Oryza sativa Japonica Group: one gene and its partner. The protein of the gene in region 1 interacts with the protein of each later gene in a pairwise test. Links are inferred from orthologs where the notes say so. Each region holds a gene or a part of one and is shown on either strand. Other genes may lie near its edges.

Region 1 (4,573 bases):
GTTGCAAAGTGAGCAGTAATCATCTGCACTCTATTTTACATATAGGAAAACCTTTCAAACTACTCTGGAGAAGAAACCATCTCTACCTCCCTGGAGGATGGATCATCATCTTCATCTTCTGAGATATCATCTCCAGTGCTGGTTATATCTGTATAGTTTGCCTGTCTAACAAATTGCCCTCGCACCCTCGGCCTTGTTTCAGCAAGTTTCTTCCTATTCACGTACCTCACCTTCTTGTCAAAACAACGTTCCTTCCTTTTCAGCCTGAATTTGGCAAGTGCTGCAGCTCTCCGTTCAGACCGACTACATGTTTCCTCGGGCATTGGTGTGCTTGATGCCTGTGGCCACATATTTTGTGTTGGCAGTTGATTTGATTGAATGCTCATACCAGCAGGATTATACTGAAATGGTGGCATCATAGATACACCATGACATTGGGGATAAACATTATACTGAGGGAGCAACGTTTGTGGTGTATGCACTTGAGCGTTGTTTATGTTCCCTTGGAAATTTTGCACCGGAGGATGTGTCATACCGTGGTCCATCATCCCTGGGTAATAAAAGGGAAAATGATATACAGGAGGAGTTCCTGAAGCATCATTTTGGCCTTCATTGCTTCGCTCCAGATGCAAGTTAGAGGAAGAAAAGCATACCACAGGGTATTGCACTGGCATCTCAAAGGCTTCTTTATCCCGAATATTTACATCAGTGCCAGTGTCACTTCTGTCAGTTGTACTAGAGAAATTACCCCTGTGATCCGAAGAGTCTAACCGATTTCCACCTTTTTGTAGTTCGCTGTCAAATGAGCTGGTAGTTGGGGTGCTTGACTTAACATAAGCTAGAAAAGCAGAAGACTCAGCAACCCTCAAGTTAGTCTTTATTGGACGTGAAAACATTACTCCGGGAGATGCTGGCATAAAAGCAAAGGCATAAACCTTAGAAACTATTCTTCAATTGGGGGATCTGCTAAATCAGCTAAAGGAAATGGTTTAAGGCTCAAGATACTTACAAGCTTGGTCGCCGCCTTCAGTAGAGACTAGTAAACCCTCTGGTGTGCCTTTTTGTTTAGGCTCAGCATCAGAAGGATTAGACTGCAAACATATCAAGAAATGCAAGGGCATTTAACAAGTAGACTGATGCAAAAAATTCAGCATCTTATCATCATCAATTGAACATATGAGGCAAAAAGGCATGCTCTAGCATCTAAACAGAACACAAAGGTAGAAAGATACTAAATAGAGAAGTAGTATGTTGGACAGCAAAATATAAAAGGATAACTAGTACTTGATTGGTTACCTCATATTCATGTTGATTCGAGGTGCTTGTTTCTTGATTAATGTTTTCTTTTGGCTTATCATCTGTGTCATCCGAGAGAAGAGTGGTGCTGTTGGTATTGGCGTCACTAGGTTCCGATAACGCCAACTCGAAATTGTCATTGAAGAAGTTTTTCTCCGACAAACCAAGCTGCCAACACCAACATTCAACTTAAGATCAACTCATACACGCTACAGCAACGCCACAGCCATCTCAGCTTAGAGCATGCTTTTCAACACAGAATTTGAAGATGAATCAACATAGTCCCCTTTACCATCCGCCTTCGCCGCCACACATGGGTCCAGAGGTTCAGCAGCTCGTTCATGCGCAGTGGCTTGACCAGGTACTCGGCTGCCCCGAGACGCAAGCACTTGACAACAACAGAGACCTCGTCTCTGTTGGACATCACTGCATAATTCGCATCAAAGATGAGGATGGTCACTACAACAACCCTACGAGCATGGGCATCAGAGGAATAGGAGGACAGCTTACTTATGATGGGGATGTGGCGCAATTCCTTGTTCCTGGCGATGTATTTGAGCATCTTGAAGCACTTGGAGACGGGCAGATCGACCTCGGCCAAGATGATGTCGATCTCCCCCGCCTCGCAGTTGAGTACGTTGATCACCTGCCTCGGAGACTTGGCGCAAGTCACTGAAACAAAAACAAAGACGTATCATTCCATGCGAGAAGGTGTGATAGAACTGCTAATTCATCTACTAAAGCAATCTTAATCCTTAATTATAAGAGCAAACCAAATACTAAGCAGACAAAGCTGAACTGACCTTGGTATGAGCAGTTGCAGAGGAGGCGGAGCACCTCCCGTGAGCTACTTGGGTCGCTGTCGCAGAGCAGAATCCTCACCTTGCTCCGGTCCACGAACTGCTGCCCTCCCCCTACCGCCGCCCCGCCGCCAACGCGATCCCCCTCGCCGGCGCCCACCATACCCCGACCCGCACGGATTCCCCCCCTAGCCACTTGTCACCAGCTGCCGACGCGTCCGAATCAGCACGAACAGCACAGCAGCCAGCAGCAGCTGCCGGCGCCTAGACTAGACGACGCAGGAGGACGAAGCGGTTGTTGGATCTGCGGGCGGCGCCTCCTCCTCCATATCCCGTGCCGTCGCCAGTAGTATCGCCCCCAGAGGCTAAGCAGTGTGCTACCGCCGCCACCCGCCGCCGACGCCGGCGGCGTCCTCCTCCGCCGCGCGTTGCGGTCCGGCCCGCACCATTATCCGCGCCTAATCTATTCAGGAGGCGGCGGCGGTGGTGGTGGCGGCGTTGGTGTCCGCTCTACTGGCACAGGATATTTTCCTCCCCCTACCTTTTGCTTTCCTCTCTCGGTGGGGCACGCGGCTCGGCTCGGCTCGGCTCGGCGAGAGATGAAAGAAAGAAGAAAAGGCCTCGTCACGCCGCGCCGGGGCGGTGTAAAAATAAACGAAACGGCTCGTCGCGAGCGGTTTGTGTCGCGTACTCGCGTCGCGCGGTGCGGGTGTGCGTGTGCGTGTGCCGGTGTCAATGGATTCGTCACGGGACGGGACGGGACGAGCCGCGAGCCGCGGCCCCGTGGGTGGGAGGGCCAGGTTGGATGGAGGGGAAGAGCCGGGCGTGGTTAAGCCAGATGGGCCCGGCCTGGCGGCGTGTGATTTCGGTGAGAAAATATCTACGCCTACCTGGCACGGAAATATCTTAATCGCGGATGCGATTAGGGGCGGCGGGCGTGGTGGGGCCGTGGCCGTGCGATACGGGAGCCGCCACGCGCGCGAGCTGGGGGCCAGCGAACGAACGCCAGGGAGACGCGCTACTGTAGTAGTACTGTGGAAACGACGACGCGAGAGGCGGAGGGAGGTGGTGCCGTGGTGGTGCCGTGGGAGTGGGAGCGCCACGCCCACGTACGTGCGGCGGCGTCCACGGTGGCCGCGTCCCCGCCCTCCGTTGCGGATCACGACGAAAGCCGCGCCAGCCCACCGCGGACGTGCCAAGGCGGAGAAAAATCCAGAGGGAAACGCGGCTCTCACGTTTTCACGTAGTACAGACCTTGATGGGCAGCATGGCGATACGGTGGTGGCTGGGCTGATGAGTAAAAGATTTTGAGCTACCGGACGAGACGAGTGGCCGGTAGAGAGCAGCAGCTGGATGGGGGGTGTTTTTTTTTTCCCCGTGTTGGCAACTTGGGATGCCCATTGCCACTACGCCGATCCGGAGAGCGACTGGTCGTGGACTTGTGGTGGCGGCTCGTGGCGCCGGCCTAGCGCTTTTTCTGTAGCTTTGCTTTTCTTGTTTGCCACTGGCGATGTACGTGGTGGCCTCCGGGCTCCGGCAGCAAATCAGCGATGCTGCAAAATGGGTTTAGCGTTAACAGCGCTGTCGTTTGTTTACTGATCTGTTACCAGCGCTGTAATTCAGTAATTCAGCAGAATGGTAAACACAACCAAGATTTTTGATTGCAGCTCTGAACTATGGCCAGGCAAAACAATCATTTTGACGAAGGGTGTTTCCTCCAGTTCACTGGCTGTATTTCTTCCACCGAGAGGAGTGGATGGTTGGTATCAGTGACGACACAACAACATCTCGATCTCAAAAATCTGGAGGCAGGCTGGCAGCCAGTAGCAGGAGCTTGGAGTGCCGATGTCATCAGTCTCATTCACAGGACGCACTAATCATATTTATTGCTACCAATGAAATCATACAAAATGAGTTATTAGCTAGAGTAGTGCTGCATACAGGCTTGAAAGTCACCCAAAGCTACTACTATCAGCAATAAGTTGTTCTGACAGTGGAAGTCCCCATATATATTCGCCTTTATTCTATGACATTGACACACCACAAACACGTTTTGGCAAAGGTATTTATCTACAGGGAAGGAGTGGCGATTGCTCCTGCCTCCGTCAGCAGAGGGACCAAGTTCCCTCCTTTGTGCATCGCCATGGTATCTGTTTGAAAGACATCAATGAAGATCGACGTTAAAATAGTGTAGAAAAACTCTGGCCTAAGTGACCCTTGTTCTAGCGATTTTCTTGTTCAGAAAAAAGTTAAACAGCGATAAAAATGCATGAAAATGTTGTTGGTCCGATGACATTAGTATCACAAGTTCACGACAAATTAAGAACAAGGAACTCACCGTCACAGCCACCAATATGTTTCCCTTTAATGAAGACACAAGGAACAGTTCTCTGTCCAGTCCAATCGGCAAGAGCTGACTGCAGCTCAGACCCATCACCTTCGTATTATGAGGATGAATTAGTTCAATGATAAATTAC
Region 2 (4,532 bases), on another chromosome or scaffold:
TCCAAAGTTTGGATGAGTAGCTTTCAGATTGGATGGCTGAGATATTCTGCATTAGTTCTGGCTGGAATGCGTACAGATGTATCTGCATGGAATCAGGATCAAAATGTTCCATCTTAAAAGAAACATCCACACAATAAACTTATATTCGATGAATCAAACTACGAAAATAAGTGTGCATGTTATAAACTTAATATTTAGGTATTGTGTTGTATTTTCGATGCTGAATTAGTCGTGTCCAATAAACGTCAATGAGAATACTTCTTTTATCACATTTTCTCTGCATGTGTAAAAAACATAATTGAGATTCAATCAAGTGGCATATAACCGCTAGCTACTTCTGGAATCTTTGGCTTAAACCGTTCAAATTTTCACTTAGATTCTAAAAATTTGTAGATATTAAATCATAAGCTAATAAATCTATTTTTTAATTCTAACTATTAGTTATCCACCATTTGCTTCGAAATTGCTTCCCAGAATTTCGAGCTTCCCAAACAAACCCTAAGTCTTTTATTTAGCGTACGCAATTATTAGATTCTACTATTTTTTTGAGGGGTAATTAAATGCTCTATGCAGTACTCTAGTACAAGAAGAAACCAAATTTTCACTAATCCCTCTAGAGCAAGTTCAATAGTAGACTATAAACCAACTATATACTTATGTAAAGGAGAGAGAACAAGGGAAACGATGAGTCCCAGCTCTTATGCAAGAGATAACTATACACATTCTCGTAAACAAATAAATTAATTACATATAGAGAGGAGAAGAACATAAGATACAACCTGGTAACTAACGGTCCCGTCATCGTTTGGCTTTTCCACTAATAAGCCAAAACAGTTTATTAGAGAATAAAAATAAATCTGTAGACAAAATTTTTATATATATGTTTTTTCTGACTTAAAAGCCAATGCTGAAAAAGAAACTACATTGAAAATATCTCAAAATTAAATTTAAAAATTTAAATTTTGACTTTTTCTTGACTAATTAGGCCATCCGATGGGAGCCTAATATATTATATATATGTTAACTCTTAGATTAATTTATAGATAGTGGTTTGCTCTACTTTTAGGCTCCGTTCGGTAGTATAAGTTCCCAACTCCTCCTCGTTTTCCACCCGCACGCTTTTCAAACTGCTAAACGGTGTATTTTTTTGTAGAAAGTTTTTATACAAAAGTTGCTTAAAAATCATATTAATCTATTTTTTTAAAAAAATAGCTAAAACTTAATTAATCACGCACTAAAACGCTGCTTCGTTCCCAACCCTCGCTTCCGATCAGAGCCTAAACTTGCTCTTAGATTTTTACACCCCTAATATCTGGTCTTTTCCTATAAAAAAAAGAGAGAGGTGGAGAGGGAAAGAACAAAAAAAATAATTACGCTAGTGAAGCTGACAATCTGAAGATACTCTCCCTTCCACTCCACGTCTCCACCTCTCTCACGAGTGGAAAAAGCAAAACAAGGTGCGCCGTTGGATGCTTCCCCCTCCCCCCCAAGTGGCCCCCATCCGTGCGCCGTCCTTTTGCCGCCCGCGCGGGCCCCACCCCCACCACCACCCCCCGCGAGATATTTTGGTGGCAGATCACGTAATTAACCCCCAACTCCCTGCCCCTTCTCCCCCACCCACCCCGCGCGGATATAAACCCCGCCGCGAAAATATCTCCCCCACCGTCTCATCCCAGCTCAGCTCAGCTCTGCCTCCGCCATTTCGAAGCACATCGAGGAGAGAGAAAGTTCTAGAGAGAGAGGAGAGAGGAGAGATGTTTGATGCGGGGGATCGCGGCGGAGGCGGCGGGGTGGTGGCGGTGAAGAGGATGAAGCTGTGCGAGGAGGAGGAGGAGGAGGAGGAGGGGATGGAGGTGGATGAGGAGGAGGAGGAGGTGGGGTGGGTGTGGAGGCCGCCGGGGGGGCTAGCGGGGGAGGATGAGGCGGCGGCGTGGGAGGGGAGGGCGGCGGCGATCGTGGTGTCGGACGCGGTGGAGGTGGATTTCCCGGTCATCTACGTCAACGCCGCCTTCGAGGCCGCCACGGGGTACCGCGCCGACGAGGTCCTCGGCCGCAACTGGTGAGCCCTCGTGCGCGCCCTGCTCTTAGCTGTTCCCCGATCGATGCCGCTCTGCTCTGATCTGGTGTGGTTGGATGGGGATGGCGAAATGCTGCTTGTTTTTTTTTTTTGGTGCTCTCGATTCGATTCCAGCTCGATATGTTGGCGAGATTGATGGTGGTTGTGGATGGCTGTGTTGTTGAATTTAATGAGCTTTTGCCGTGCAGTCAAACCTTGAGATTTTAATGCGCATTTGTTAGAATTAGGGGGTTCCTGTACAGGCGTACGGTGCAGAGTGCGCACCACTCTGTCTCTGCCTTAATGCTTGCAATTGCGGCGATGATGCGTGATTCCTGACTAGTTGCTGTAAATTTTAGCATTTTATCCTCACTTTTGATTGGTTGTTTTTTTTTTTTTTGAAATTTATAGATGGGTATCATGCCAGTATGAGATTTAGCCAGAATTTGAAGTGTACTGTTTCTGTTAGACCATCTGTATTTTAGAGCCAATCTCTGAGTAATGGTGACATTGTTGATTTTTAATCTACACATTAAGCACAGCACGAGCAAGCCAACAATCGAAGTAAATTGTAGATAATGTTGTTCAAGTACAGTAAAAGCCTGAAAGGTGCTTACGCGATCTAGTTTGGATATATTCATGTTATTGCTAAATTTATGAAATGGCTTTTGAAACAAATTTTGTGTATGGAAGTTCTATATCGCATATTTGCATTGGACCTTAGAGGCGAACAACGAAATGTTCATATATTCTTTCTGGCTCTGGGTCATTTTTGTTTTCTGGTGGGAAGAGGCTGGGCAAGCAAGGGTGATGGCTACCCGTTAGATATTTTCCCCTGATATATCTTCTCTTCTCTTGCTCTACTAAAGTAGCCACTTGCACATAGAAAAAGGGATGATGGAAGAATAAACTGTAGCATATATTGTGAATATAAAATGAGATGGGTAGGCCATTAATTGGAATATAGCACAGTTGTCTGTAGCATGTGGGTACAAAAATTTACAACAGGGAGCATCACGGTTTTAGCCAGGCCTTTTTATTTTTTACCACCGGGCTACCAATTAATACTTAGTAACTTTAGTCTTCCATTGGCATATATCATATTTAGTGGTCGCCTGCTAGTGCTCTAGGAGGATATATTATACTGGATTAGTAAGACTTTTTCCTCCTCTCTTGGATGGTACTGGAAAATAATTAACTATGAATGTATTCACATGACAAATTAACATTGAATTTGGACACCAACTGTGAAATTTGATCCGTATTAACAATATGGAAAGCTATTATTGGTGACAACCTTATAAGTGTACTACAGTACTACACCTGCAAGGGTTTTCAGTTGACAAGTAGCTGATTATGGTCAGTTTCAGAATTCGGAACTCAATTTTGAGCATAAATGGAAGTTCTGGATGTAATATGAAGATAAACTTTGAGAAATTTGACTTGGGTTGTAAATGTTTGAACTTGATTTTCGTGCTGTACTGCTTAAGGCTGTCTTCAGGAGGCAAGGTTTACCTCCTGACACGGAAAACAATGTAAGCGATTAGAGCGAGATTAGTTAAGTACTAGCCTAAAAAAAATTAAAAAATGGATTAATATGATTTTTTTTAAAGCAACTTTCCTATAGGAAAATTTTGCAAAGAACACACCGTTTAGCAGTTTGAAAAGCGTGCGCGCAGAAAACGAGAGATGTGAGTTGGGAAAGAAGGGGAAAGTCTTTTAGGGACTCATTCCGTAAATGTCGTTTTACCATTTTGTGGTGATTTGCTCTAATCGTCCACGTCGAATGGTAAATATTCTTGTGTGCAGTCTGCACAATTAGCCTCTCTTTTGTCAGATTATGAAAATTCTTGAAAAACAATTTATTGAATTGCTTACATGATGCAAGAACTTGTCTCTTATATTACATTTTGACATATCATGCCATCACAAACAATTCCAAACATATTAATTTTATTTCCAAAAGATTCATTGGATGAGTTTAGTTAAACCTGTGTTCCATCATAAGTACTCCCTCCTTCCCTAAATGTTTGACACGGTTGACTTTTTTAAACATGTTTGACCGTTCGTCTTATTCAAAAACTTTTGTGAAATGTGTAAAACTATATGTATACATAAAAGTATATTTAACAATAAATCAAATGATAGGAAAAGAATTAATAATTACTTAAATTTTTTGAATAAGACGAACGGTCAAACATTTTTAAAAAAGTCAACGGCGTCAAACATTTTGGGATGGAGGGAGTAGTTTGGACATTCAGCAATCAGCATAAGCTCTAGGCATTGGCTAACATAATTAAGTATTCAATGTAGGGTTTTTTTTTTTTTTTTGCATTTCGACTAAAGTCCAACAAAGCATAAAAAAAATAGCTGGACTAGTTTCTGCCTAATGTTTAGCAATGTTAGCAATTAGCACTAGGTTAACAGAATACATTTGAAACCAAACAAAAAGCCACATTCTTCTTCGTTGTCTGCG

What was found.
Region 2: the proteins of two-component response regulator-like PRR1 (region 1) and adagio-like protein 3 interact in a two-hybrid assay, tested with the Arabidopsis thaliana proteins (2 studies listed by BioGRID). The link is inferred for Oryza sativa Japonica Group from reciprocal best matches to the Arabidopsis thaliana genes TOC1 and FKF1.

The regions. Positions count from the first base shown.
Region 1 is NC_089036.1:25,050,330-25,054,902, reverse strand, and holds the start of two-component response regulator-like PRR1, read right to left. Parts: upstream 2,886-4,573; 5' UTR 2,260-2,885; coding exon 2,100-2,259; intron 1,969-2,099; coding exon 1,807-1,968; intron 1,723-1,806; coding exon 1,589-1,722; intron 1,465-1,588; coding exon 1,297-1,464; intron 1,092-1,296; coding exon 1,010-1,091; intron 911-1,009; coding exon 60-910; 3' UTR 1-59. Other genes in the region: glutaredoxin-C4, chloroplastic, read right to left, coding at 4,167-4,246, 4,435-4,533. UniProt on the Arabidopsis thaliana protein: Controls photoperiodic flowering response. Component of the circadian clock. Expression of several members of the ARR-like family is controlled by circadian rhythm.
Region 2 is NC_089045.1:22,117,094-22,121,625, reverse strand, and holds the start of adagio-like protein 3, read left to right. Parts: upstream 1-1,661; 5' UTR 1,662-1,754; coding exon 1,755-2,059; intron 2,060-4,532. UniProt on the Arabidopsis thaliana protein: Component of an E3 ubiquitin ligase complex that plays a central role in blue light-dependent circadian cycles.